Macaca fascicularis: one gene and its partners. The protein of the gene in region 7 interacts with the protein of the main gene of each other region in a pairwise test. Links are inferred from orthologs where the notes say so. Each region holds a gene or a part of one and is shown on either strand. Other genes may lie near its edges. The genes, in order: AKAP9, SPTBN1, CLU, PDE4DIPP2, NEFM, PPM1E and TNIK.

Evidence for each region.
Region 1: the proteins of TNIK (region 7) and AKAP9 interact in a two-hybrid assay, tested with the Homo sapiens proteins (2 studies listed by BioGRID and IntAct). The link is inferred for Macaca fascicularis from reciprocal best matches to the Homo sapiens genes TNIK and AKAP9.
Region 2: the proteins of TNIK (region 7) and SPTBN1 interact in a two-hybrid assay, tested with the Homo sapiens proteins (2 studies listed by BioGRID and IntAct). The link is inferred for Macaca fascicularis from reciprocal best matches to the Homo sapiens genes TNIK and SPTBN1.
Region 3: the proteins of TNIK (region 7) and CLU interact in a two-hybrid assay, tested with the Homo sapiens proteins (2 studies listed by BioGRID and IntAct). The link is inferred for Macaca fascicularis from reciprocal best matches to the Homo sapiens genes TNIK and CLU.
Region 4: the proteins of TNIK (region 7) and PDE4DIPP2 interact in a two-hybrid assay, tested with the Homo sapiens proteins (2 studies listed by BioGRID and IntAct). The link is inferred for Macaca fascicularis from reciprocal best matches to the Homo sapiens genes TNIK and PDE4DIP.
Region 5: the proteins of TNIK (region 7) and NEFM interact in a two-hybrid assay, tested with the Homo sapiens proteins (2 studies listed by BioGRID and IntAct). The link is inferred for Macaca fascicularis from reciprocal best matches to the Homo sapiens genes TNIK and NEFM.
Region 6: the proteins of TNIK (region 7) and PPM1E interact in a two-hybrid assay, tested with the Homo sapiens proteins (2 studies listed by BioGRID and IntAct). The link is inferred for Macaca fascicularis from reciprocal best matches to the Homo sapiens genes TNIK and PPM1E.

The regions. Positions count from the first base shown.
Region 1 is NC_088377.1:129,252,132-129,255,631, forward strand, and holds part of AKAP9 (A-kinase anchor protein 9), read right to left. Parts: intron 2,011-3,500; coding exon 1,828-2,010; intron 820-1,827; coding exon 619-819; intron 1-618. UniProt on the Homo sapiens protein: Scaffolding protein that assembles several protein kinases and phosphatases on the centrosome and Golgi apparatus. Required to maintain the integrity of the Golgi apparatus. Required for microtubule nucleation at the cis-side of the Golgi apparatus.
Region 2 is NC_088387.1:67,215,302-67,218,801, reverse strand, and holds part of SPTBN1 (spectrin beta chain, non-erythrocytic 1), read left to right. Parts: coding exon 1-320; intron 321-407; coding exon 408-545; intron 546-1,381; coding exon 1,382-2,138; intron 2,139-3,076; coding exon 3,077-3,279; intron 3,280-3,500. UniProt on the Homo sapiens protein: Fodrin, which seems to be involved in secretion, interacts with calmodulin in a calcium-dependent manner and is thus candidate for the calcium-dependent movement of the cytoskeleton at the membrane.
Region 3 is NC_088382.1:30,779,526-30,783,025, reverse strand, and holds part of CLU (clusterin), read left to right. Parts: intron 1-2,391; coding exon 2,392-2,562; intron 2,563-3,500.
Region 4 is NC_088375.1:114,058,758-114,062,688, reverse strand, and holds the start of PDE4DIPP2 (myomegalin), read left to right. Parts: upstream 1-1,131; 5' UTR 1,132-1,516; coding exon 1,517-2,641; intron 2,642-3,931. UniProt on the Homo sapiens protein: Functions as an anchor sequestering components of the cAMP-dependent pathway to Golgi and/or centrosomes.
Region 5 is NC_088382.1:28,099,771-28,102,694, forward strand, and holds the end of NEFM (neurofilament medium polypeptide), read left to right. Parts: intron 1-379; coding exon 380-1,934; 3' UTR 1,935-2,424; downstream 2,425-2,924. UniProt on the Homo sapiens protein: Neurofilaments usually contain three intermediate filament proteins: NEFL, NEFM, and NEFH which are involved in the maintenance of neuronal caliber.
Region 6 is NC_088390.1:47,741,612-47,745,111, reverse strand, and holds part of PPM1E (protein phosphatase 1E), read left to right. Parts: intron 1-2,690; coding exon 2,691-2,890; intron 2,891-3,500. UniProt on the Homo sapiens protein: Protein phosphatase that inactivates multifunctional CaM kinases such as CAMK4 and CAMK2. Dephosphorylates and inactivates PAK. May play a role in the inhibition of actin fiber stress breakdown and in morphological changes driven by TNK2/CDC42.
Region 7 is NC_088376.1:82,551,649-82,555,148, reverse strand, and holds part of TNIK (TRAF2 and NCK-interacting protein kinase), read left to right. Parts: intron 1-1,575; coding exon 1,576-1,737; intron 1,738-3,500. UniProt on the Homo sapiens protein: Serine/threonine kinase that acts as an essential activator of the Wnt signaling pathway. Recruited to promoters of Wnt target genes and required to activate their expression. May act by phosphorylating TCF4/TCF7L2.

The DNA of each region.
Region 1 (3,500 bases), on a different chromosome or scaffold from region 7:
ACAGAGTATGATGCTCTTACATATAACATTCTTTTGGTCTATTAGGGACGAAACCAGGGAAAGTGGAACCACGAGCCCAGGATGCTGTCACTGTGACCATTAATAGAGGTTAATCTGGTCCCAGTCCTGGGCATGCCTTTCCACAAACCTCTGTGACCTGCATTCATGACAAAGACTGAATAAAGAGACCTAGAGACAAAACCTGAATACCATCTATTTTTTTTTTTTTTTTGAGATGGAGTCTCACTCTGTCACCCAGGCTGGAGTGCAGTGGCGCAATCTCGGCTCACTGCAAGCTCTGCCTCCCAGGTTCATGTCATTCTCCTGCCTCAGCCTCCTGAGTAGCTGGGACTACAGGCGCCCACCACCACACCCGGCTAATTTTTTTTGTTTTTGTATTTTTGGTAGAGACGGGTTTCACCATGTTAGCCAGGATAGTTTTAATCTCCTGACCTCGTGATCCGCGCATCTTGGCCTCCCAAAGTGCTGGGATTACAGGCGTGAGCCACCGTGCCTGGGCCTAAATTTCTTTAGTCTATTTATTTAAGGTCAGTGAGAGATGAAAGAAGGCAAAAACATAGAACAAACTGTGATGTTTAGATGGGAGATGTCTCCTACCTTTAAAGTGACATGTTCAGAATCAGGGCTTAGAGTTTGAAGTAAAGAGTCATTTCTTAGTTCAGCTTTCAGTTTGTATACTTCAGCCTCTGCCCTTTTCAAAGATTTCTGGAGAGTCAATTTTTCTCTGTTCCATACCTCTTTTTCAGAGGCAATGATGGCTTCAATGTTGGCACCACCATTCAATGAAAACCTGGAAGACTGCAAAGACCACAGACTACTTACATGATTTTTAAGAACAAGTCTCTGAAGAAAAGTCTGAGCTAAACATATTAAAGATAGCTCAATGATGGTGCAGTCTCAACTTTCTGACCCCACCTAGACAAAGTTCAAAGCCAATCTTAATTGACATTATGCATATACACTAACTCTAAGTACATGGTCCTTTGCTAAATACATTAGTTTTACAACTAAAAGTCCTTGAGAAAGCCTGGCCACAGGGAAGGTTTAGCAGATTAGCAGAGCTTTGAACTAAAAACATCAAGAGACCTAACAGACCATTTGGGTCCAAATTTTGAGCCTGTGCCTGAAATAGTGTATTGGAGAAGTGGGAAAAAAACAAGCCAGTATGTACATAATAAGTGGATTTCTATAAAAGGCACATAAATGTGTTATCATGTATTTAACCATACAGTTGTCTTACAGGTCTTTTCTATCTTTATATTGGGTGATTATGGAAACTAGCAATTAATTTTATACCTGTTTTTAAATGGAAAAATTTTAAGTAAATTCTCAGCGTAATTTATCAGACTGAAAGACATAATTTAACAGCACCTTCTATTTGAGTCATGAACACAATGACTGATAAGTGACCGAAGAGAACAGTCAGGATTCACATTTGAACATTTTGTGTATCTGTTGTTGGTGCCTAGGTAGCAAAGTATCTGGCTTTGGAGATACATGTATCTTGGTTTGACTACGACTTCAGTTCAGTTTTCTCAGGTATAAGGTGGATGCGGATTAGACATTCTTTATGTATACAACTCAGAGTCGAGTACAGAGATGGTTTCCAATAAATAACAGTAATTATTAGTAACTTAGTAGTAATAGTAATATTATTATTGTCATCCCTATAAAATTTTCTACAGATCCTACTAAGAATCAGGTACGTGATAGTTTTACATTAACAGGATTAAAACTTGAACTAGATAGCAGAAATGACAAGCACGCACGAATTCTCATATATGGAGATGCTAAAAATGGACATACATTATCTCTACCAGCTCCTGTCTGTCGATACCACCTGATCTGCTCTTCCAGCTTCATAACCATGTTCCTTAAGTCATTCTTCTCTTCAGTCAGTTGACTGATATGCCCTGTCAGCTCAGCATTTTGTCTCAGTAGTCTTTCAGTCAAGGAGCCACAAGAAGTACTTGGGGACACCAAGCTGGGCTGGAAAAATAAAATGGTGTAAGGTCACTTAAGCACAAATGGATGTGAATAATGCATATAAAGGGTGAATAGGCACCGAGAGCAACAAAGTTCATGAATTGGTGCTTGAGTTGAGTCTTCAGTAATAGGTAGATATTTACCAGGCAGAAAAGATAAGGGCACATTAAGCAAAAGGCGCACAGGCTTGAGCGAGTGTGTATTCCTTTCGGGGTGTTATAGGTTGCCTGTTAAGTCTAGATTGCTTTACTTTATGAATAACAGACCTAAATGTAGGCAATGGAGAGTCATGAAAGGCTTGATGCAAAAATACGACACAAAATTTATGTGTTGGAAAAATTCCTTTGGTAGTAATGTACAAAGCAGGGGAAATTAGGGAAGATATCTTCGTGTCAGGTAGACCTATCAGCAAGTTGTTTCAACAGCCAGGTAAGAAATGCTGAAAGCCTGAATGGAGGCAATGCCTAAGGGACAGAAAGTAAAGGGTGTGCGGGAGAGGTATTTAGAAGATAAGAGGGACAGGACTTAGTGACTATCTAGACGTGCAGGGAAGGGTGAAGGAAAGTGGTCTATGGTGACTTCCAGCTTTCTAAACTGGGCGGTATCATGACTAGAAATGAGGGTCTGGAGCAGGAAGGAGAAAGGGAAGACGGAGTTCAGTTTGGAATGTGCCTGTGAGGTTCCTATAGGGTCACTATGGGGTACATTTCCCTAAGGAAAAATGTCTAGTAACTAACTGAAAATATAAGCCTGGGCCGGGCGCGGTGGCTCACGGCTGTAATCCCAGCACTTTAGGAGGCCGAGGCGGGCGGATTATGAGGTCAGGAGATCGAGACCATCCTGGCTAACACAGTGAAACCCCATCTCTACTAAAGAATACAAAAAATTAGCCGGGCCTACTGGCGAGTGCCTATAGTCCCAGCTATTCGGGAGGCTGAGGCAGGAGAATGGAGTGAACCCAGGAAGCAGAGGTTGCAGTGAGTTGAGATTGCGCCACTGCACTCCAGCCTGGGTGACAGAGTAAGACTCCATCTCAAAAAACAAAACAAAAAAGAAAATATAAGCCTGGAACACAGGACAGAGGTTTAGACTAGAACCACAGTCCACTAAAGATAAGCTCCATAAGGATGAGGTTTTAGTCAGATTTGTTCACTGTATCTCCAGAACCTATCTGGCACTTATCTGGCACACAGTAAGTGTTCAATATAAGTATTTGTTTAATAATAAGTCTAGTGAGAGCTCAGGGTGTTGGACTGTGTGAGCTTTCATAGTTATAGGTTACAGAAAAGAAGGAAGAGGGTAGGAAGAGGAACCATAAAGGTAACTGATGAAAGAAGCAGAAGAAATGTTAGAATACTGACATGACACGCAAGGAAAGAGAAGGTCTTAAGAAAATAAAAGAGATCAAAAGTATCAAATGCTACAAAGAAGTCAAGAAAAAGACTGAAAAGATTCACCAGATTAGTCAATTGTTTAGACACTGGTAGGCGTCT
Region 2 (3,500 bases), on a different chromosome or scaffold from region 7:
AAGAAACACAAGGACGTGGCGGAAGAGATTGCCAATTATAGGCCCACCCTTGACACGCTGCACGAGCAAGCCAGCGCCCTCCCCCAGGAGCATGCCGAGTCTCCAGACGTGAGGGGCAGGCTGTCGGGCATCGAGGAGCGATATAAGGAGGTGGCAGAGCTGACGCGGCTGCGGAAGCAGGCACTCCAGGACACCCTGGCCCTGTACAAGATGTTCAGTGAGGCCGACGCCTGTGAGCTCTGGATCGACGAAAAGGAGCAGTGGCTCAACAACATGCAGATCCCAGAGAAGCTGGAGGATCTGGAGGTCATCCAGCACAGGTGAGCGGGGCACTGCCAGTCACTGGCCTGTTCCTTGTGACCACTAGTGGCCCAGGAGGTGACCACCCTGTCAAATTGCCGTTTCAGATTTGAGAGCCTAGAACCAGAAATGAACAACCAGGCTTCCCGGGTCGCAGTGGTGAACCAGATTGCACGCCAGCTGATGCACAGTGGCAACCCAAGTGAGAAGGAAATCAAAGCCCAGCAGGACAAACTCAACACGAGGTGAGCACGCAGCCAGCAGCCTTCCAGCCTCCCACGTGTGGGGCTGGGGAGGGTGAGGTCACTCACTGAGCCTTGCTGTTGGGAATTTCCCACATGGGGTCATTGACATTGCAACACGATGTCGTGGCATTGGCACCTGCGTTTTGACATGTCCTTGTTTTGTAAGAAGTGTCTCTCAGGGCAACATCGTTGGTTGCAGGAGGATGATCTGAGCCAGCCCAGCACCTGCCCCTCTGCACACCAAAGTTAGGGCCTTGGTGTGACCGGTGTCCAGTGTAGAAGGTATTAAGATGACACCTGTGCTATCCATTTTAAAGTAACTTTAGGAACAGGACTCTAGCATGTTCAACACTTAATTTGCCAATGGAAAAGTCCTGATTGTCAGGGCAGACCTTTGTTCTGGTCTTATCTTTTTGTTGAGTAAACATGTTTGAGTAGGTTGTGGCATCTGGCCCTAGTTTTGAAGGTTACCATCAGTCTTAGAGTCTTAGATTTGGAAAACATTCATTAGGTGGAGTTCAGAGATGTGTAAAATGTGTGTTGCAGACATGAATTAATTGACTCTGGGAATGGATGTGTTGTAATTGCTCACATTGGAGCTCTGTAACACATTCCTGTTTGTGACAGGCTTTTTCCAGATTACATTGCATCCCTGAGCCATTTCCATTATATATGGTGTTCGTAGTCTGAGTGAGATAATTTTCCAAAAAGCATGTACTCAAAGCAAAGATGGAGAAAACAGATAAGCAGCATTAACCCCATTACTGTTCCTTTTGCAATCCAGCCATGGTCGGTCTTCCCTTTTTCACACTCGCTCTCTGCCCCTGCACTTACAGGTGGAGCCAGTTCAGAGAACTGGTTGACAGGAAGAAGGATGCCCTCCTGTCTGCCCTGAGCATCCAGAACTACCACCTCGAGTGCAACGAAACCAAATCCTGGATTCGGGAAAAGACCAAGGTCATCGAGTCCACCCAGGACCTGGGCAATGACCTGGCTGGCGTCATGGCCCTGCAGCGCAAGCTGACTGGCATGGAGCGGGACTTGGTGGCCATTGAGGCAAAGCTGAGTGACCTGCAGAAGGAGGCAGAGAAGCTGGAGTCCGAGCACCCTGACCAGGCCCAGGCCATCCTGTCTCGGCTGGCCGAGATCAGCGACGTGTGGGAGGAGATGAAGACCACCCTGAAAAACCGAGAGGCCTCCCTGGGAGAGGCCAGCAAGCTGCAGCAGTTCCTACGGGACTTGGACGACTTCCAGTCCTGGCTCTCTAGGACCCAGACAGCAATCGCCTCGGAGGACATGCCAAACACCCTGACCGAGGCCGAGAAGCTGCTCACACAGCATGAGAACATCAAGAACGAGATTGACAACTATGAGGAGGACTACCAGAAGATGAGGGACATGGGCGAGATGGTCACCCAGGGGCAGACCGATGCCCAGTACATGTTTCTGCGGCAGCGACTACAGGCCCTGGACACTGGATGGAATGAGCTGCACAAGATGTGGGAGAACAGACAAAATCTCCTTTCCCAGTCACATGCCTACCAGCAGTTCCTCAGAGACACGAAGCAAGCGGAAGCCTTTCTTAACAACCAGGTAAGATTTGTTCCTGCCTTTGCTTCCTTTCCATGAAAGCAGCCCTGGCTGCCTTTTGAAATGTTTTGGCTGGGGCAGCTGATTTAACCCACACCTGTATGGAATTATATGGATAATTTAGAGACAGATGTTTTTCCCAATACTCTTGAGGCACTGAAATCCATCACATTGTAGGGGACAGGAATTGAAGATTGCCATAGGAGCTGCTTTGCCTTACAAAGTACTATTTGATTTCAACTGCCATTTAGGACATAGTATGTCCTCATAATTGAGGTATTGATCCCATTTAAAAGATACAGTGAGGGCCAGGCATGATGACTCACTCCTGTAATCCCAGCTTTTGGGGAGGCAGGGGCAGGAGAATCACTTGAGCCCAGGAGGTCAAGGCTGAAGTGAGCTGTGATTGTGCCACTGCACTGCAGCCTGGGTAGCAGGATGAGACCCTGTCTCTTTAAAAAAAAAAAAAAAAAAAGTACAGTGAAGGTTTTTTTTTTCTTGAGACCAATCTGTCTTATTGCTCTAAAAGGGTCAGGGACTTCACCTGAGGACACAAGGCAGCGATTAGAGAAATAAAAACAGCTGAGGATAGTCACCAACTTCAGGGCTGCTATTGTCTCAAAGAGAGGGTATGAAGGGTACATTACTGTTGCCTTGACGGGCACGTGAGAGAACCCTTGAGGCTGATGCACAAAGCTTTGGTTCCTTTCCTCAGTCACTTTGGAAAAAAAATTTAGAGCATTTAAACCCTGAGGAAATTCAGTGAGTTACAGTGTCCCACTGGGTTTTTTTACCTCCTAATTTTTAATTTGATGTGATTTAATTATTTCATGTAAGTGTAATGAAGAAAGTGTTGTGAAGTATGTTGCATGGAAATGTAGAACACAGGAAAATGAGATCCTTCATTGATCCTTTATGACTTGTTTCTCTTTTTAAATAAGGAGTATGTTCTGGCTCACACTGAAATGCCTACCACCTTGGAAGGAGCTGAAGCAGCAATTAAAAAGCAAGAGGACTTCATGACCACCATGGACGCCAATGAGGAGAAGATCAACGCTGTGGTGGAGACTGGCCGGAGGCTGGTGAGCGATGGGAACATCAACTCAGATCGCATCCAGGAGAAGGTGGACTCTATTGACGACAGGTACAGTTTTCTGAGGTTCTTAAGGGAGACTTGCACGTTGGGGCTCTCAAACTTCTGAATCATTGGCCAGAAGCCCTTGGGAGTGTGGGCATAAATTTCCCAGTGGGCGGAATATAGGTGCCCAGCAGAATTTCATCTACCCAAACAGAAAATTAGTGAGCCGTGCATGACTGCCTGAGAATGTGGTTCTGGTGAGACATGTACAGGTGTCCACAAAAGGA
Region 3 (3,500 bases), on a different chromosome or scaffold from region 7:
GAAGCTTATCTAGTCGGGTTGATACGGTTAGGGTTAAGGCAGGCACACTGCACCCCACGTCTTCCTAGAGTTCTGGACTACTTCATGAAGAAACATCTTAAGCCCAGTAGTGGATATAGCAGGTCTAGCCTGTGCTTAATGATTCGACAAAACTAAAACACTATAATTCAATGAACAACTTATTTAAGAAATCAAGTCTCCTTAAGAGTATCCTACAAACCTCCTCTCACGGTCGCCCTACTTCAGATGCTAAGATGTAGCTACCTGCCAGCTTCATGATCCATCATGCATGTTAAAAGCATTTCAAAGGCTCTGAGATGTTGTGCAGTAAAGAAACCTGTGTAACTCCATGAAACCCAGAGTTTTCCAAATTGACCAGGGAATTCATTTTTTTTTTTTTTCTGGCTGCTTTGAGCACAGCTCCATGGAAGCCACTTCAGGGAATGCTGGCCTGGATGCAGCTCTACCTTTTTTTCAAGCTTCATGCCCTTTCTTGGCCTCAGTATCAGTTCTCAGCGTTCTTTTTTTTTTTTTTTTTTTGAGATGGAGTCTTGCTCTGTTGCCCAGGCTGGAGTGCAATGGCACAATCTCAGCTCACTGCAACCTCCACCTCCAGGGTTCAAGTGATTCCCCGCCTCAGCCTCCTGAGTAGCTGGGATTACAGGCACGCGCCACCACACCCAGCTAATTTTTTGTATTTTTAGTAGAGGTGGGGTTTCACCATATTGGCCAGGCTGGTCTCGAACTCTTAACTTTGGCCTCTTGGTCTGCCTGCCTTGGCCTCCCACAGTGCTGGGATTAACAGGCCAGTTCTCACCATTCTGTGAGAATCCTCAAATAGCTCCTGGGGAAGGAGCATGTCTCATGCTCACACTTTTGTGGTTATCACTGGAGTTTGACCTTCAACAATTCTGGTTTTATAATAAAGCACATCACATTTGGAGAAAAGAGCGTGTCTCAAAGAGCTACAACTAAGAGCTACTTCTTAGTTGAGGAGTAGGTGAGCCAGAAGGAAAGGAAGTAGGCAGCATGGGTGGCACTTGTGTCTTGGCTCAGAGGGAGGTGGGCTGTCTTTGCCCAGCAGGGAACAGGGGATGATGGAGCAGGACAAAGACCTCACGTAACTCTGGGGTGTGGATAGGCTAATTTTTTTTTGAAGACTAACACACTTATTTATAGAGACTTTAATATAGAAAAGTAGAAGAGGAAAAGTTTTTCCATAATCCTTTTGCCCAAGGACAAGTCACTGTTAACATTTGATCTATTTCTTCCTATTCTTTTCCTCTGTGCTTTTTTGACAGTGGCTATGCACAAAATTATGAATTTTTCACATAAACAGTACATATGATAATATTCAAAATGGACTATAAACATCCTTTGTAATGATGTACCATTTACTCTTTGTAGGAACCACAGTTTGTTTAACCTGTCTCTTTTAAGCATCTGGGTTGATTCTGATTTTATTTTTTTTGCCATAAGTTAATACTGTACCGAATATTTTTAAGCATCTTTTTCTTTGTCAGGGGATTCCTTTGAGATAGAGTCTTTGTTTTGTTTTGTTTTGTTTTTTGAGACAGAGTCTCGCTCTGTCACCCAGGCTGGAGTGTAGTGGTTTGATCTCGGTTCACTGCAACCTCCGCCTTGTGGGTTCAAGCGATTCTCCTGCCTCAGCATCCCAAGTAGCTGGGAGTGCAGGTGCGCACCACCACACCAGCTAATTTTTGTATTTTTAGTAGAGACGGGGTTTCACCATGTTGGCCAGGCTGGTCTCGAACTTCTGACCTCAAGTAATATGCCCGCCTTGGCCTCCCAAAGTGCTGGGATTACAGGTGTGAGCCGCTGCACCTGGCCTGAGATAGATTCTTAGAGAATTATTGGGTCAAATGGCAAGGACCCATTAGAGAATTTTGACAGCTGGTGTGGCTTTGGTGTTGAAAGCCTGCCATTCCCTTTGCATGCCAGGGGGCATGGTTGCAATAGAAAGATAAGATTCAGGGAGTCTGCAGCCTGCTTTGGAAGATGAAATTTAAATACCAGAAGCAGAGAATAGAAAATGAGGCTTCAGTGAGAGGGTAGTCACTGAGTAGATGATCAGCGCACTAAATCAGAGAGAGGTGCTGTCCACATGGGTTCCAGGAGCTGGGAAGCTTCTAGGAGTTAGGGAACAGTTGGATCTTAAAGGGTGAGTGGATTCTTCAAGCCAGTGGGAAGGGGATTCCAGGTGGGTGAATGAAGGGAAGCCTGAACTGGAGCAGGGGTGCACACTTGCATGCTGGGTGGCCATCCTGTGGGAAGGCCTGCCCTGGGCAGAGGGCCTGGCACCCAGCACCTCCTTGAGTGTGTGAGCCTGTGGTCTCTGTGTGGCTCAGCCAGCCTCGTGTCTTCCTGTAGGATGCCCTAAATGAGACCAGGGAATCAGAGACAAAGCTGAAGGAGTTCCCAGGAGTGTGCAATGAGACCATGATGGCCCTCTGGGAAGAGTGTAAGCCCTGCCTGAAACAGACCTGCATGAAGTTCTACGCACGCGTCTGCAGAAGTGGCTCGGGCCTGGTTGGCCGCCAGGTGAAAAGGGACACATCAGTGGCCAAGGCTGAGTGGGGAAGGACGGGAGCCTAGTGAAATATGCTTCATTCCACATGCCAGATGCAATTGATTAGTATTGGCTGGCTGCATTGGGTCCCAGAGTGCCATGCTCCATTGGTGATGTCTGGCATGAGTAGTGAGAGTGGAGTCATCAAAAGGATGTAGGCCAGGTATCTACCTTCTCTTAGAAAACTCATGCAGCAGTGCTTAGCTGGATGACATAACCGCTTTGTGGGATGGCAGAGCCCTGTGTCCACTTATGTGGAAGGATTTAAGAATTTTTTTTTTTTTTTTTGAGACAGGGTCTCACTCTGTCACCCAGGCTGGGGTGCAGTGGTGTGATCATGTTTCACTGCAGCTTTGACCTCCTGGGTTCAGGTGATCCTCCCACCTCAGCCTCCTAAGTAGCTGGGACCAGAGGCACACACCACCATACCCAGCTAAGTTTTGTATTTTTGTTGTAAACATGGGGTTTGGCCAAGTTGCCCCGGCTGGTCTCAAACTCCTAAGCTCAATAATCCTCCGACCTCAGCCTCCCAAATTGTTGGGATTACAGATGTGTGCCACTGTGCCCAGCCAATGTAAGATTTTTTTAGTGTATTAGTATTGCTCCTGTCCTCTGCTGCAGGGCTTTTTTGATTGGGACTCAGTGAATTGCTCCAGTCCCTGAAGTCACATCAGTTGGCCCTTAGCTGAGCAGGGGGTGGATATCATTGGTGGCCAAAGATGACCGTGGATGAACCTGAAATGTTGGGCCTTGTGACTCTTATGGCCTCCCAGGTGTCTCAAAACTGTCCCCCATGGAGGGAGGTAAAAGGAAAGGGCATGGACCTGACAGTTGGGGTGCTGGGGGCTGGTCCCGCTGGGCTGTTGGTCACTTGCTGTGTGACTGTTACAGCCATGGGCAGGGCCTGGCC
Region 4 (3,931 bases), on a different chromosome or scaffold from region 7:
GTGAGCCCGGGAGGCGAAGGTTGCAGTGAGCCGAGATCGCGCCACTGCACTCAAAAAAAAAAATGGCCGGAGGTACCTGCATCCCACCTAGTCAGGGCTCTAGCTTCCCTCCTCTTTGTGTGCAATCCAAGTTTTAGACCCAAGGGTGGAGGACCTACCACTGTACAGTGCTGAGTAAGACAGGGTTCTCACCGAAGTCAGCGAAGTTCCCAGTCCTTTCTGGCGCGAGCTGCATTCCCAGACACTCCAGCTCTTGCCGAAAGGAGCTCCGTCTTTTGCGCTAGTGTTTGTCTACCCTCCCCTGCCCTAAAATAATGAATGCCCTCTACCTGAGGGAGAGACTTCAGTGGCGGTAATCTACTCGCGGCTGGCTGCATCCTTGAAAAAGCACATTTCCCTTCTACTATCTTCAAGATCTTGGTTAACCAGATTCACATTGTATTTGCAGGACGCTTTCTCAGGTGACTGCTCAGTGCTCTTTTTTACCGAAAGTAGGGCAAAGTCCCCCAAGGGTGCTAACCCTCCCCCACCCACATCAAGGAAGAAACAGTCCTCTACTCTTTTCTGGACATTCCGGTTCAGAGTCGAGGTAAGGGTTGCATGGCCCCGCCCCACCCGCCCCTCCGTTACCAAGCCTTCCCCCGCCCGCCTCGCAGTCTCAGGGCCTTAGAACCCAGGCGGGGCGAGGCCGGGAGAGGTGGGGCTGCTGGCTGGAGGCGGCGGCGGCGCGCAGCGGTACCTAGCGGCGCTGCCCGGCTGGCAGCCGGAGGACGTGGCACTGTCCGAGGATCCAGGGGGAGGGGATTCGGCCTTCTCCTCCCCGCGAGGAGGAGCCTCGGGACATCCTGCAGAGGCGGGAGGATCCTTGAGGGCACTGGTGCGCCTTTCAGGTGAGCTCTTAGCAGATAAAAGCGGCTGGCTGTGGTCCGCGCCAGTAGTGCTTTCTGCTCTGCACTCCCAGTGAGCCAGGTGCGCAACCGGAGTGGGGGCGAGGGGCGTGCTGGCCACCCCGCATGCGCAGAGCCGGGAGCCCGCTGACCGGACTACAGCTCCCAGAGGAGCCTTGTGGAAGCCGCAGACGTGGAGCCGCTGGCGCCATCTTGAAATCTGATCCTCAATCCCCGAGCCTTTGAGTCTGCGCGGCGGGCCGCTGCTGCTCCGGGAGCCCAGTCTGTTAAAAGGGTAGGACGTTGAGGACGCGGCGGCTGGCGGGAGAGACAGCTGGGGAGAGACATGGCAGGGTCGGAGCGCGGCCTGCGCCTCTGTCACTCAGCATCCTCTTAGACGTTTCCACGCCCGCCCCCTGCCCAAGGGGCGGGGCTGACGGCTGTGGTACCCGGAGCCGGCGCACGGGGTAGGGGTGCACCCCTGCAGAGTGAGGACCCCACTGGGCTGTGCCATGCTGACTGGAGACCACTGAGGCGGGAGACAGAGCGCGGCGAAGAGCCATTGAGTGGTCATCCAGTAGCCGCCGCCGCCGCCGCCTCAGGAAGCTTGGCACCCGCTAGGAGGGAAGATGAAGGAGATTTGCAGGATCTGTGCCCGAGAGCTGTGTGGAAACCAGCGGCGCTGGATCTTCCACACAGCGTCCAAGCTGAACCTCCAGGTTCTGCTTTCGCACGTCCTGGGCAAGGATGTCCCCCGCGATGGCAAAGCCGAGTTCGCTTGCAGCAAGTGTGCTTTCATGCTTGATCGAATCTATCGATTCGACACGGTTATTGCCCGGATCGAAGCTCTTTCTATTGAGCGCTTGCAAAAGCTGCTACTGGAGAAAGATCGCCTCAAGTTCTGCATTGCCAGTATGTATCGGAAGAATAACGATGACTCTGGCCCGGAGGTCAAGGCGGGGAATGGGACGGTTGACATGTCTGTCTTACCTGATGCGAGATACTCTGCACTGCTCCAGGAGGACTTCGCCTATTCAGGGTTTGAGTGCTGGGTGGAGAATGAGGATCAGATCCAGGAGCCACACAGTTGCCATGGTTCGGAAGGCCCTGGAAACCGACCCAGGAGATGCCGTGGTTGTGCAGCTTTGCGGGTTGCTGATTCTGACTATGAAGCCATTTGTAAGGTACCTCGAAAGGTGGCCAGAAGTATCTCCTGTGGCCCTTCTAGCAGGTGGTCGACCAGCATTTGCACTGAAGAACCAGCGTTGTCTGAGGTTGGGCCACCCGACTTAGCAAGCACAAAGGTACCCCCAGATGGAGAAAGCATGGAGGAAGAGACGCCGGGTTCCTCTGTGGAATCTTTGGATGCAAGCGTCCACGCTAGCCCTCCACAACAGAAAGATGAGGAGACTGAGAGAAGTGCAAAGGAACTTGGAAAGTGTGACTGTTGTTCAGATGATCAGGCTCCGCCGCATGGGTGTAATCACAAGCTGGAGTTAGCTCTTAGCATGATTAAAGGTCTTGATTATAAGCCCATCCAGAGCCCCCGAGGGAGCAGGCTTCCGATTCCAGTGAAATCCAGCCCACCTGGAGCCAAGCCTGGCCATAGCATGACAGATGGAGTTAGTTCCGGGTTCCTTAACAGGTCTTTGAAACCCCTTTACAAGACACCTGTGAGTTACCCCTTGGAGCTTTCAGACCTGCAGGAGCTGTGGGATGATCTCTGTGAAGATTATTTGCCGCTCCGGGTCCAGGTATACAAAACGGCTACACAGTGCCTTTCTGATTATAGCTAGCTGGCCTCTGGCTTCACATGATTTCGGTCTAGGTGGAGGTTAGTAATATTCTAGACTTGAGAAAATTAGTCATGAGCCCATTTTTGCTGCACCTTTTCTGTGTCTCATTTAGTAAACGTGATTCGTACTCAGATAATTTGCTTTTCACAGTCTTTGTAAAATCTGTTGGCCTTCCCATTATCAAAATTGTATACCTTTTAAAACAAAAAGGTAAAGATTCCCACTTCACTTTTATCCTGTAAAAAGAAGACATTTAATCTCATTTCTGGCACTAGAACTTTTCCTCTTATCTCCTTTTCTTTCTTTTTTTTTTTTTTTTTTTTTTAACAACTTTTAAAATTTGTTCTTGTTTTCAGATTTATAGACGTTTCCTCCCAATGGCTTTCTGTAAGGCAGTTAGTTCTCTAGTTAGTTCTTCCCAGAGCATTGAAGCTTTCATCCGCAAAATGCCTGTAAATGATTAGAGCATAAGGTAAAAGGTTTGGGGGAAACCTATTAATCCACCAGTAAAGTATTATAACATCTGGACAATATTTATTATAATGAATAGTTCATTTGAGGATTAGTGATGACTCATTCATAAAAGAGACAGGAATTCAAGTATTCAAGTACAGTATTGTCACTCAAAACGTTAAGGCATAAACTGTTCACAGCCAGAACTCTGCTGAGTTCTACTGGAAGATATTTGATATTAAGAAAGGATTAACCCATTATTGGATCAGAGGAGAGTTTCATTCATTATAGTCTTGAATTCTTAATGACTAGAGGATGGCAGTTGCTTAATTTGAACCATTCATGTCTGCCCAATTGATTCTATACCAACCTTTTAAATTCAGCTATGGTAGTTTGTTTCTATAGCAACAGTAAATGCTAGGTTCAGTTAACTTTGTGAAACATACTGGCATGTTCCACTTGATACAACTTATTTAGCGATACTGTCACAAAGGTAGATGTGATCTAGAAGGCATTTTTAGAAAGCCTGCTACTGGTCAACATCATTCCAGAAATTTAGAGCTTGATAAGTAACATTGTTGATGGTCACATGAAACTTTTGGAAAGTAGTTCTGTGGTATGTATACTTTCTTTCACCATAAGAACCTAAGCAGAAAACAGGAGAAAAGTTTTTAAATTTACACAAAATTATGAGTAGCAGCATAGATGAGAAACAGCAGAGATGAAAGTGTCATGAAAGGTAAAAAGTCAGTGCGTTTTCATTTGTATAAAATGTATGTACTTCTTTTCTTTTGC
Region 5 (2,924 bases), on a different chromosome or scaffold from region 7:
CTTTTGTTTGTGGCTTTTTGTGTTTTTGTTTTCGTTTTTGTTTTTTCCTATTTGGCCACTAACAAGTTTTTCAGCATATTCTTGTTGGACCTAATGGATCTCTACTGCAGGGCCAAGACTTAGTAGCTGGGTGTGGTTAGTGGACTATTGGGCAAGGTTAGTCATTGTAGGGGGCAGTCCAGGAGAACCTTTCTCTGTCACTGAGTATGACGTAATATGCAAGTAAGTGATAGCAGGTATTATAACAAATTGATAGAATATTTTACTTATGTAATTCTATTTCTTCAAAGGTAGCTACTACAATACCCAGAATGTAATGAAACTCAGAAGGCCCAGAGAAATTTTTACTATGTCTTATGTTCTTTGATTTTCTCCTTAGAAAACTCCTGGAGGGTGAAGAGACGAGATTTAGCACATTTGCAGGAAGCATCACTGGGCCACTGTACACACACCGACAGCCCTCAGTCACAATATCCAGTAAGATTCAGAAAACCAAGGTGGAAGCTCCCAAGCTCAAGGTCCAACACAAATTTGTTGAGGAGATCATAGAGGAAACCAAAGTGGAGGATGAGAAGTCAGAAATGGAAGAGGCCCTGACAGCCATTACAGAGGAATTGGCCGTTTCCATGAAGGAAGAGAAGGAAGAAGCAGCAGAAGAAAAGGGAGAGGAGCCAGAAGCTGAAGAAGAAGAAGTAGCTGCCAAAAGGTCTCCAGTGAAACCAACTGCACCTGAAGTTAAAGAAGAGGAAGAGGGGGAAAAGGAGGAAGAGGAAGGCCAGGAAGAAGAAGAGGAAGAAGAAGATGAGGGAGCTAAGTCAGACCAAGCCGAAGAGGGAGGATCCGAGAAGGAAGGCTCTAGTGAAAAAGAGGAAGGTGAGCAGGAAGAAGGAGAAACAGAGGCTGAAGGTGAAGCAGAGGAAGTCGAAGCTAAAGAGGAAAAGAAAGTGGAGGAAAAGCGTGACGAAGTGGCTACCAAGGAGGAGCTGGTGGCAGATGTCAAGGTGGAAAAGCCAGAAAAAGCCAAGTCTCCTGTGCCAAAATCACCAGTGGAAGAGAAAGCCAAGTCTCCTGTGACAAAATCACCAGTGGAAGAGAAAGCCAAATCTCCTGTGACAAAATCACCAGTGGAAGAGAAAGCCAAGTCTCCTGTGACAAAATCACCAGTGGAAGAGAAAGCCAAGTCTCCTGTGACAAAATCACCAGTGGAAGAGAAAGCCAAGTCTCCTGTGACAAAATCACCAGTGGAAGAGGCAAAGTCAAAAGCAGAAGTGGGGAAAGGTGAACAGAAAGAGGAAGAAGAGAAGGAAGTCAAGGAAGCTCCCAAGGAAGAGAAGGTAGAGAAAAAGGAAGAGAAACCAAAGGATGTGCCAGAGAAGAAGAAAGCTGAGTCCCCGGTAAAGGAGGAAGCTGTGGAGGAGGTGGTCACCATCACCAAATCCGTAAAGGTGCACTTGGAGAAAGAGATCAAAGAAGAGGGGAAGCCACTGCAGCAGGAGAAAGAGAAGGAGAAAGTGGGAGGAGAGGGAGGGAGTGAGGAAGAAGGGAGTGATAAAGGTGCCAAGGGATCCAGGAAGGAAGACATAGCTGTCAATGGGGAGGTAGAAGGAAAAGAGGAGGTAGAGCAGGAGACCAAGGAAAAAGGCAGTGGGAGGGAAGAGGAGAAAGGCGTTGTCACCAATGGCCTAGACTTGAGCCCGGCAGATGAAAAGAAGGGGGGAGATAAAAGTGAGGAGAAAGTGGTAGTGACCAAAACAGTAGAAAAAATCACCAGTGAGGGGGGAGATGGTGCTACCAAATATATCACTAAATCTGTAACCGTCACTCAAAAGGTTGAAGAGCATGAAGAGACCTTTGAGGAGAAACTAGTGTCTACTAAAAAGGTAGAAAAAGTCACTTCACACGCCATAGTAAAGGAAGTCACCCAGAGTGACTAAGATTTGAGTCCACTGCAAAAGGTTAAGCCATATGACAATTTCAAAATGCATGTGATTGGCAGCTTCAAAACAGAACGGGTTCTCCCATGGGGGCTCCAGACATTGTATTTACTTTGTGCAATATGAGGGGACTGCATGCAAGCTCAGGGTGCTCCCTCCTCAGTCTTTGGGGGATTCAAATGCATGATATTGTATGTACCTGGGAAATTTGCCAATTTCCTAAGCTGTTGGAAGGGGGTCACTTAAGGGGGGATGTCTTGAGATGTATTATGCAAAGTACCAACTGAGCCAAAAACAATAAATGAAACACAGAACTCTCTTAGCCTTAAGAAAGCTATATATGAATAATTATGTTTACCTCACTGGTGCGTTTAAAATGGACTTTTGCTCATGGGAGAACCTCGTTGACATGCACAGTTTGCAATCTTATGTTGATTGATGTTAAACGTCACAGCAGTACTTGCTCAATAAAGGTCATATTGGAAACATAGTCAATTGCTGAGTCTTATGTCATTTCTTTTTTAATTTTTATTTATTTTTATTTAGAGATGGGGTCTTGCTATGTTGGCCAAGTTGGTCTTGAACTCTTGGCCTCAAGCAGTCCTCCTGCCTCAGCCACCCAAAGTGCTAGGATTATAGGCATGAGCCACCATGCCCAGCCTGTTATGCCATTTCAAAGTGAGATCTCCACTACCTGAAGCTTTCTTGCCCTAAAATAGATTTTTGGGGGGAAATCATAAGTAAACTGCACTTCTTATTGCTATTTCCCTGAGAGCGATTACTTGGAAAATGTAATTGCTGAAGATATTTTCAGGTGTCTACATCTTCACTGAGCCCGGTCTTCATCCCATAATTTTAAAATCACATTTTTGAAACAAAAATAAAAGCATCAGATACAAATAGGAATCCGGTGGGATAGAAATCTTCAGTGTTTCTATCCCAAAACAGAACTCAGAGAACCTCTAGGTAAGAGGACAAATGAAGGAGGGG
Region 6 (3,500 bases), on a different chromosome or scaffold from region 7:
CCCAGCTACTTGGGAGGCTGAGGCAGGAGAATGGCATAAACCCAGGAGGCGGAGCTTGCAGTGAGCTGAGATCCGGCCACTGCACTCCAGCCTGGGCGACAAAGCGAGACTCCGTCTCAAAAAAAAAAAAAAAAAAAAAGGCCGGGCATGGTGACTCATGTAATCCCAGCACTTTGGGAGGCTGAGGTGGTTGGATCACCTGAGATCAGGAGTTCAAGACTAGCCTGGCCAATATGGTGAAACCCCATCTCTACTAAAAATACAACAAAATTAGCTGAGTGTGGTGGCGGGCGCCTGTAATCCCAGTTACTTGGGAGGCTGAGGCAGGAGAATCGCTTGAACCTGAGAGGCGGAGGTTGCAGGGAGCTGAGAATGTGCCATTGCACTCCAGCCTAGGTGACAAGAGTGAAACTCTGTCTCAAAAAAAAAAAAAAATTGGCCAGGCGCAGTGGCTCACACCTGTAATCCTAGCACTTTGGGAGGCTGAGGCAGGTGGATCACGAGGTCAGGAGTTCAAGGCCAGCCAGTTGGAGACCATCCTAGCCAACATGGTGAAAACCTGTCTCTACTAAAAATGCAAAATATTAGCCGGGCGTGGTGGCGGGCACCTGTAGTCCCAGCTACTTGGGAGGCTGAGGCAGGAGAATGGCGTGAACCCGGGAGGCAGAGCCTACAGTGAGCCAAGATCCCGCCACTGCATTGCAGCCTGGGTGATGGAGGGAGACTCTGTCCAAAAAAAAAAAAAATTAAAAAATTAGCCAGGCGTGTTGGTGGGGGCCTGTAATCCCAGCTACTCAAGAGGCTGAGGCAGGAGAATAGCTTGAGCCCAGGAAGTGGAGATTGCAGTGAGCCGAGATTGCGCCACTGCTCTCTAGCCTGGACCACAGAGCAAGACTCTGTCTCAGAAAAAATAAAAAATAAAAATAAAAGAGACAAAACCACAAGACAGGATTTACTACCCTGTGCTATGTTAATGAGGAAAAAAAGGACAAAAACTTGAGGTCAGCTTTTTTAATACAGTCATTTAAAAAATAATTTTGAATAAGAAAAGAGGTAAATGTAGTCACAGATTAAGGCAAAGACAGTACTGAGAATGAAATTGGTAGTCCAGGTCCCAGGCTGTTGTAGAACATATAGTCTCTCTCTTCTTTGGGATTTGTATTCTAGATTGGAGGAGGCATGTGTAGCCATTGCCATCTGGCACTTATTTTCTCAGGCTGTCAAGCTGTATCTGATTTAGTTCAGTAAAAAGAAAATTTAAGTTCGATTTTTTTTTTTTCACCTGAGATGTAAGAGGAACTTCTAAAATACTGGCCTGAGAAAACCTAATCTCTCTTTGGTTATTTCCGTAGCTCAACTTAAGTGGAGGACAACTTGAGTGGAGGGTTCAGTGATAGGAAATACAATCTCTTCAGTATCATTCAGTGTTGCTTAAAAGGCTTACACATCTGTCCATCTACTGAGGGTACATGTCTACCTCAGAAGTCAGCTTGCCAATTCTACCCAATAGGTGAAGCGGTAAACACAGGTGAAGCGGTAGGCTTAGGGTCAAGAGACCTGTTAGTATTGCTCCTCTGGCTGCTCTCTGTCTTTTTCTATCTAGGATCACACGCATAGACAGAGTTTAAGTACATTTTCCTTAGAGTCGTATAAAAGTTTTAGCTCATTTGCTAACCTATTGGCTAAACTATTTAAACTATGGCCTAAAACTTTAATAAACAAATATATCAAACAGAAAAAACAGGCCGGGTGTGGTGGCTCATGCCTGTAATCCCAGCACTTTGGGAGGCCAAGGTGGGTGGATCACCTGAGGTCAGGAGTTCAAGACCAGCCTGGCCAACATGGTGAAACCCCGACTCTACTAAAAATACAAAAAATTAGCCGGGCGTGATGGCAGGCACCTGTAATCCCAGCTACTTGGGAGGCTGAGGCAGGAGAATAACTTGAACCTGGGAGGCGGAGGTTGCAGTGAGCTGAGAGAGAGCGCCATTGCACTCCATCCTGGGCAACAAGAGCAAGACTCTGTCTCAAAAAATAATAATAATAATAATAGTAATAATTTAAAATATATATATATATATATATACACACAATTCAGTTACAAATGATCATTTATAGGAGAAAAAGGAATTGGATGTAAAGGAAGAAGTCAGGGAGAAAGAGGACAAAGACAAATGGTAAGCAACATACACCCTTCTTATTTCTGTAGTTAGTGGGCTGTTTTCATAGGCCTTCCATATTCCAATAAACACAGTATTTATCCAGCTAATTGGACTATGGAAGTAGTGTTAATCACTGCTTATTTTTCTAAGCATAGGAGGCTTGGCTCTCCTGGTGATAACCATAGCAAACAACCAAAAAGGAACCGGCGCTGGGAACTAGGGAGCAGTGTGGTGAGAGCACTTCTCCAGCTGGAAGAAATCAAGCCAGGAATAGGTCCAGCCCTGGCCAAAGGTTTTCTCCTCATGACATAAGAATATTTAGTGGCAGCTGCAGGCTGATGATTTTCTACTAGATAGGTTGTGATTTTCTCTCTTCAGAAGCAGCATTTCATTTTTCTTGAGAAGGATGAATTTCTTCTATTAAGGAGGAACTTGACTAAGGTGACCTACTTCTGTCTTTACCAAGCAGAGAAGTGAAAAGCAGTTTTACAAGGCTCTTCATTGGGGGTTTCTGTGTTTCTTTCACAGAGATTGAGACAGTGAAATTGGCCCGTTCTGTCTTCAGCAAACTACACGAGATTTGCTGCAGCTGGGTGAAAGACTTCCCCCTCCGCAGGAGACCCCAGCTTTATTATGAGACATCAATCCATGCCATCAAAAACATGCGCAGGAAAATGGAGGACAAACATGTCTGCATTCCTGACTTTAATATGCTCTTCAACCTAGAGGTAAAGGGCACTTCCGGAGAGTCAGTGAGATTTTAAAGACAAAACAAACACCTTCATGGTCCTGTTAGAAAAGGAAAACTTCTGATATATTTCTAATTGTATCTTTGGTAGATTAGAGTAGCGCTAAATGCAAAGTGGCACAAATTTGCAACAGAAAAGGAACTATTTTATGTTCTTTTGAATAGGTAATGCGTTCACATGGTTCAAAACTGGGAAAATAAAAATGTCTCTCTTATCCTTGCCTCCCAGGTACTCAGTTCCCTTCCATGGAGGCAAGGTAGTCTTTTGTGTCACTTTCCTTGAGACCAGGAGTTTGAGACCAGCCTGGGTGACAGACATAGTGAGACTGTCTCTTAAAAAAAAAAAAAAAAAAAAAAAAATTTTTTAAATTACATCTCAATGAAGCTGTTTTGTAAACCAAACCAAAAAACCCAAACTATTTCTATAGTATAATCAAATGGTGTATTAAGTTCTCACATTACTATGTTGCTAAAGCAACACAAACACAAAAGGAAGATTTAAGACTGATGCAGTTTATTTCATGTGATTTTCTTTTTAAAATCTTGGTCTCTGAGATAGGAAAGTAGCTGAAATTATATTTCATGAATCT
Region 7 (3,500 bases):
TGCAGAGCTGTAATTGTAAATCCATGACAAGCTCCAGAAATAAAAAGCCAGACTGGTGAGATGGTCAAAGAAACAGCATGAAACCTTGCACATGCCAGCCCCCAAGAGGGTAGGGAATGTGCTTGCTTTGTTCCCAGCTGTTCCATGTTCAGTAGAATGCTTTACATTTAGTAGGAACTAAAAACTTTTGGGTCAATGAATGAATGAAAGAAAAGACAGAGAGGGAAATCATTACTTAATCAGATCTGCTCTAAGAATCCTCAGTGAGCCAGTTGCAGAAAAGTTAAAAAGTGCAACACTAGTCAGGCCTACAATGTGGGCACTGGCTTTTGGAAACCAGAGTTGTCTTTTAATCCTGCCTTTCCTCCCTGGGATTTTTTGGCAGAGACTGCTCTCCAGAGCAATGGCTTCCAAACTTGTTAGGTCATGTAATCCTATCAGTAAAACTATAGAGCATCTCACCTAATACAGTGTATTTATTCACAAATCATACATTTTTTTCTACTGCACTAACATTATGTACATTATAAAATACCTTTGGCCAGGCAAGGTGGTTCACACCTGTAATCCCAGCACTTTGGGAGGCCAAGGCGGGCAGATCACAAGGTCAGGAGTTCAATACCAGCCTGACCAACATGGTGAAACCCCATCTCTACTAAAAATACAAAAATTAGCCAGGCGTGGTGGCACGTGCCTGTAATCCCAGCTACTCAGGAGGCTGAGGCAGGAGAACTGCTTGAACCTGGGATGCAGAGGTTGCAGTGAGCCGAGATCATGCCACTGCACTCCGGCCTCGGTGACAGAGCGAGACTCCATCTCAAAAAAAAAAAAAACTTTAAAGGACATTAAAAAGGGTTACTAGAAGTGATGTTTCAAATGCTTTGCTAGTTATGATGACTTTATTTTGTTACTGCCTACATCACAAAGCACCATAGTTCTTTATTGAGACATTAAACATTTATGTAGATAGTAGTTGTAAATCCATATTTTCAAATAGTATTCTAGATCATGTCAATATATTTGGAACTCCTGTCAGATCTGATTAGTTAATCATTGTTTTGACCTTGTGAATGACAAAGAGCCCCGTGAGTTAAGTATGGTCTCTGCACTTTCTTGGAGTACTCCACACACACTGCTTCTTTTCAGCAACATTTTAGGTCATTTCTCTGTTGTGTGGGTTTGTTTCATTATAACCTGGTAATATGATCTGTAAATATAATTAAGTGGCAGGTACATACAGCACAAGCACTACAAAAGAGTTTACAAGTGTGGGCCCTGCTCAGTCCCTCCCTTTTGTAGCGTCTCCCCCTTTACATGGGACCCCATGCCATATGTGACCACTGTCTATACCTCATGCAGGAACGTAAGGCTTCAGGCTCAATTGATAAACCAAATATTGGCAAAGCTTACTTTCTTTTTTGTTTTCTTAAGTAAAATAGAAATTTGAATATCACCTTCTTGCACCCTAGCGGGTCTATTTGGAGCCCCATATGCCTATGCCGTGTAAGGGCTGATGTCACTCTTTGGCCTTTTTCCCCCCCTCTCTAACTCCTCTCACATGCTGTGCTCCCTCAGACGTCTGGAGAGAAGCGATCTGGCCACAGTGACAGCAATGGCTTTGCTGGCCACATCAACCTCCCTGACCTGGTGCAGCAGAGCCATTCTCCAGCTGGAACCCCAACTGAGGGACTGGGGCGCGTCTCAACCCATTCCCAGGAGATGGACTCTGGGACTGAAGTAGGTGCTGGGCAACAGCTGGCATGACAGTTCTGCTCTCCTTCCTGGGGTTCTAAAACCATGATCTCTTCAAGAATGAGGCTTCACCAAGCTCCTTGAAACTTGTTTGGTTGGTTTCTACTATAGAGCTGCCTGTGCAGGTACTCAAATGGAGAAATCATGGAAGCAGAACAGTGAAAAGTTCTCAGATATCATCTGAACCAATACTTGTTTCTCCAGATGAGTATACTAGGTTCATAGAGGGTTGAGTGACTTGTCCAAGACACACGGCTGGTTTGTGACAGATCTAAGACCAGAACTGGAAACTTCAGGCTATACAGATTTCAAGGACAACAGTTGAGGTTTATATTTGCATTAATTTAGTCAAACTAAGTATGACTTAAATAAAACAGTTTAAATGATTTGTTTATGAAAAATAAAATTTAATAAATAGATAAGTTCTTAAAGTGTTCATCTTCATAAATTCAAAATTGTGTGAGAATGAAGAAACTAGGTATTACCTTTCCTGTATAGAAACAGTCCCAGGAAAAAGTCTGAATAAACACAATCTGCAGGTAGTGCCCATAGACGCTGATGACTGACACCAGTTGGATGAGTTCACAGTGTGTGGTCATGTTTCATTAATAGTCTTGTCAATCACACGTAAGGTCCTAAATGTGTTTATAAAGCACATGTACTGTTATTTTTGACATTGTCCACACACTAAGTTTTTATGATGCACCCTTTGAATTATAAAGTTATAGTGTAGATGAGCTTTGCATACCCCAAGGAAAAGAACACAGTGGTATATTGCAAAGCACAGCATCTTATTGTAACTTCATGCTGTGTGGGCATTTTCTGCCTGAACACCTCTCTTGGTGCAAAGGAGGACCCCATAAGATTGAACCCTAGTTCAAATTCTGCTGCTACCCCAGCTCTATGTGGAAATGTTACTGCCTGCCCTACCTCTTTCACAGACATCTTCTAAAGATCAAAAGTGAACATGTATGTGAAAGTGATCTATTTGGTAGGGGGAATTCTACCTTGAGGAGGATGAAATGGTTTTGGTTTCATAGGATGGAGAGAAAAATCTTGAATTAAATCAGATTAGATCTTTGTGGTTTTCTCCTTACATGTTTAGAGGTCTTGGATGGTGGTTTTATTTTTAAATAAAACTCTAAAAGTAAAACTAAAGTGAAACAACCTTTAGTTAAAGATATTTATCCAAAAAAGATGTGCTTATTATGTTGAATACAGATGTGTTTGTGATGTGAAAGGACAAGAAGGAATGGACATGACTGACATTGTAGCTTATTCAGCAAAACTCAGATTTAGAATATTGTGACATGAAACCCTGATATTGAGTTTACTGTTCCCTCGTTTACTTCTGACATCATGTTTTCATGGTGCCATTCAAGCCCAAGATTCCTTTTTTAAAGTAAGCCTTCAAGGTACATTGCTCACAAACCTAATATACTCATAAAGTCCCTAAATAATGATGTAAATGTAATTATTATTTTAAGGAAACTATCATGGGAATGAAATATCTTCAATTCCAGCATAAAATCATCCCTGAATTAATGATTTTAAAGCTTTTGGAGCCAACACCAATTCGCTTGCATCGCCAGGCCAGAGTAGAAGAGCTCAAAGCTCTCCTTCCCAAGAGAAAGTCCCTTGGGTTGACTCTGTGTTCAGGATAAAGTGCTGCTGTGGAGGCTTCCTTACTTAGTTTATTGCCAATTGTGTCAGCCTTTCATATTGATCATGTGGTCAATATAGGAGAT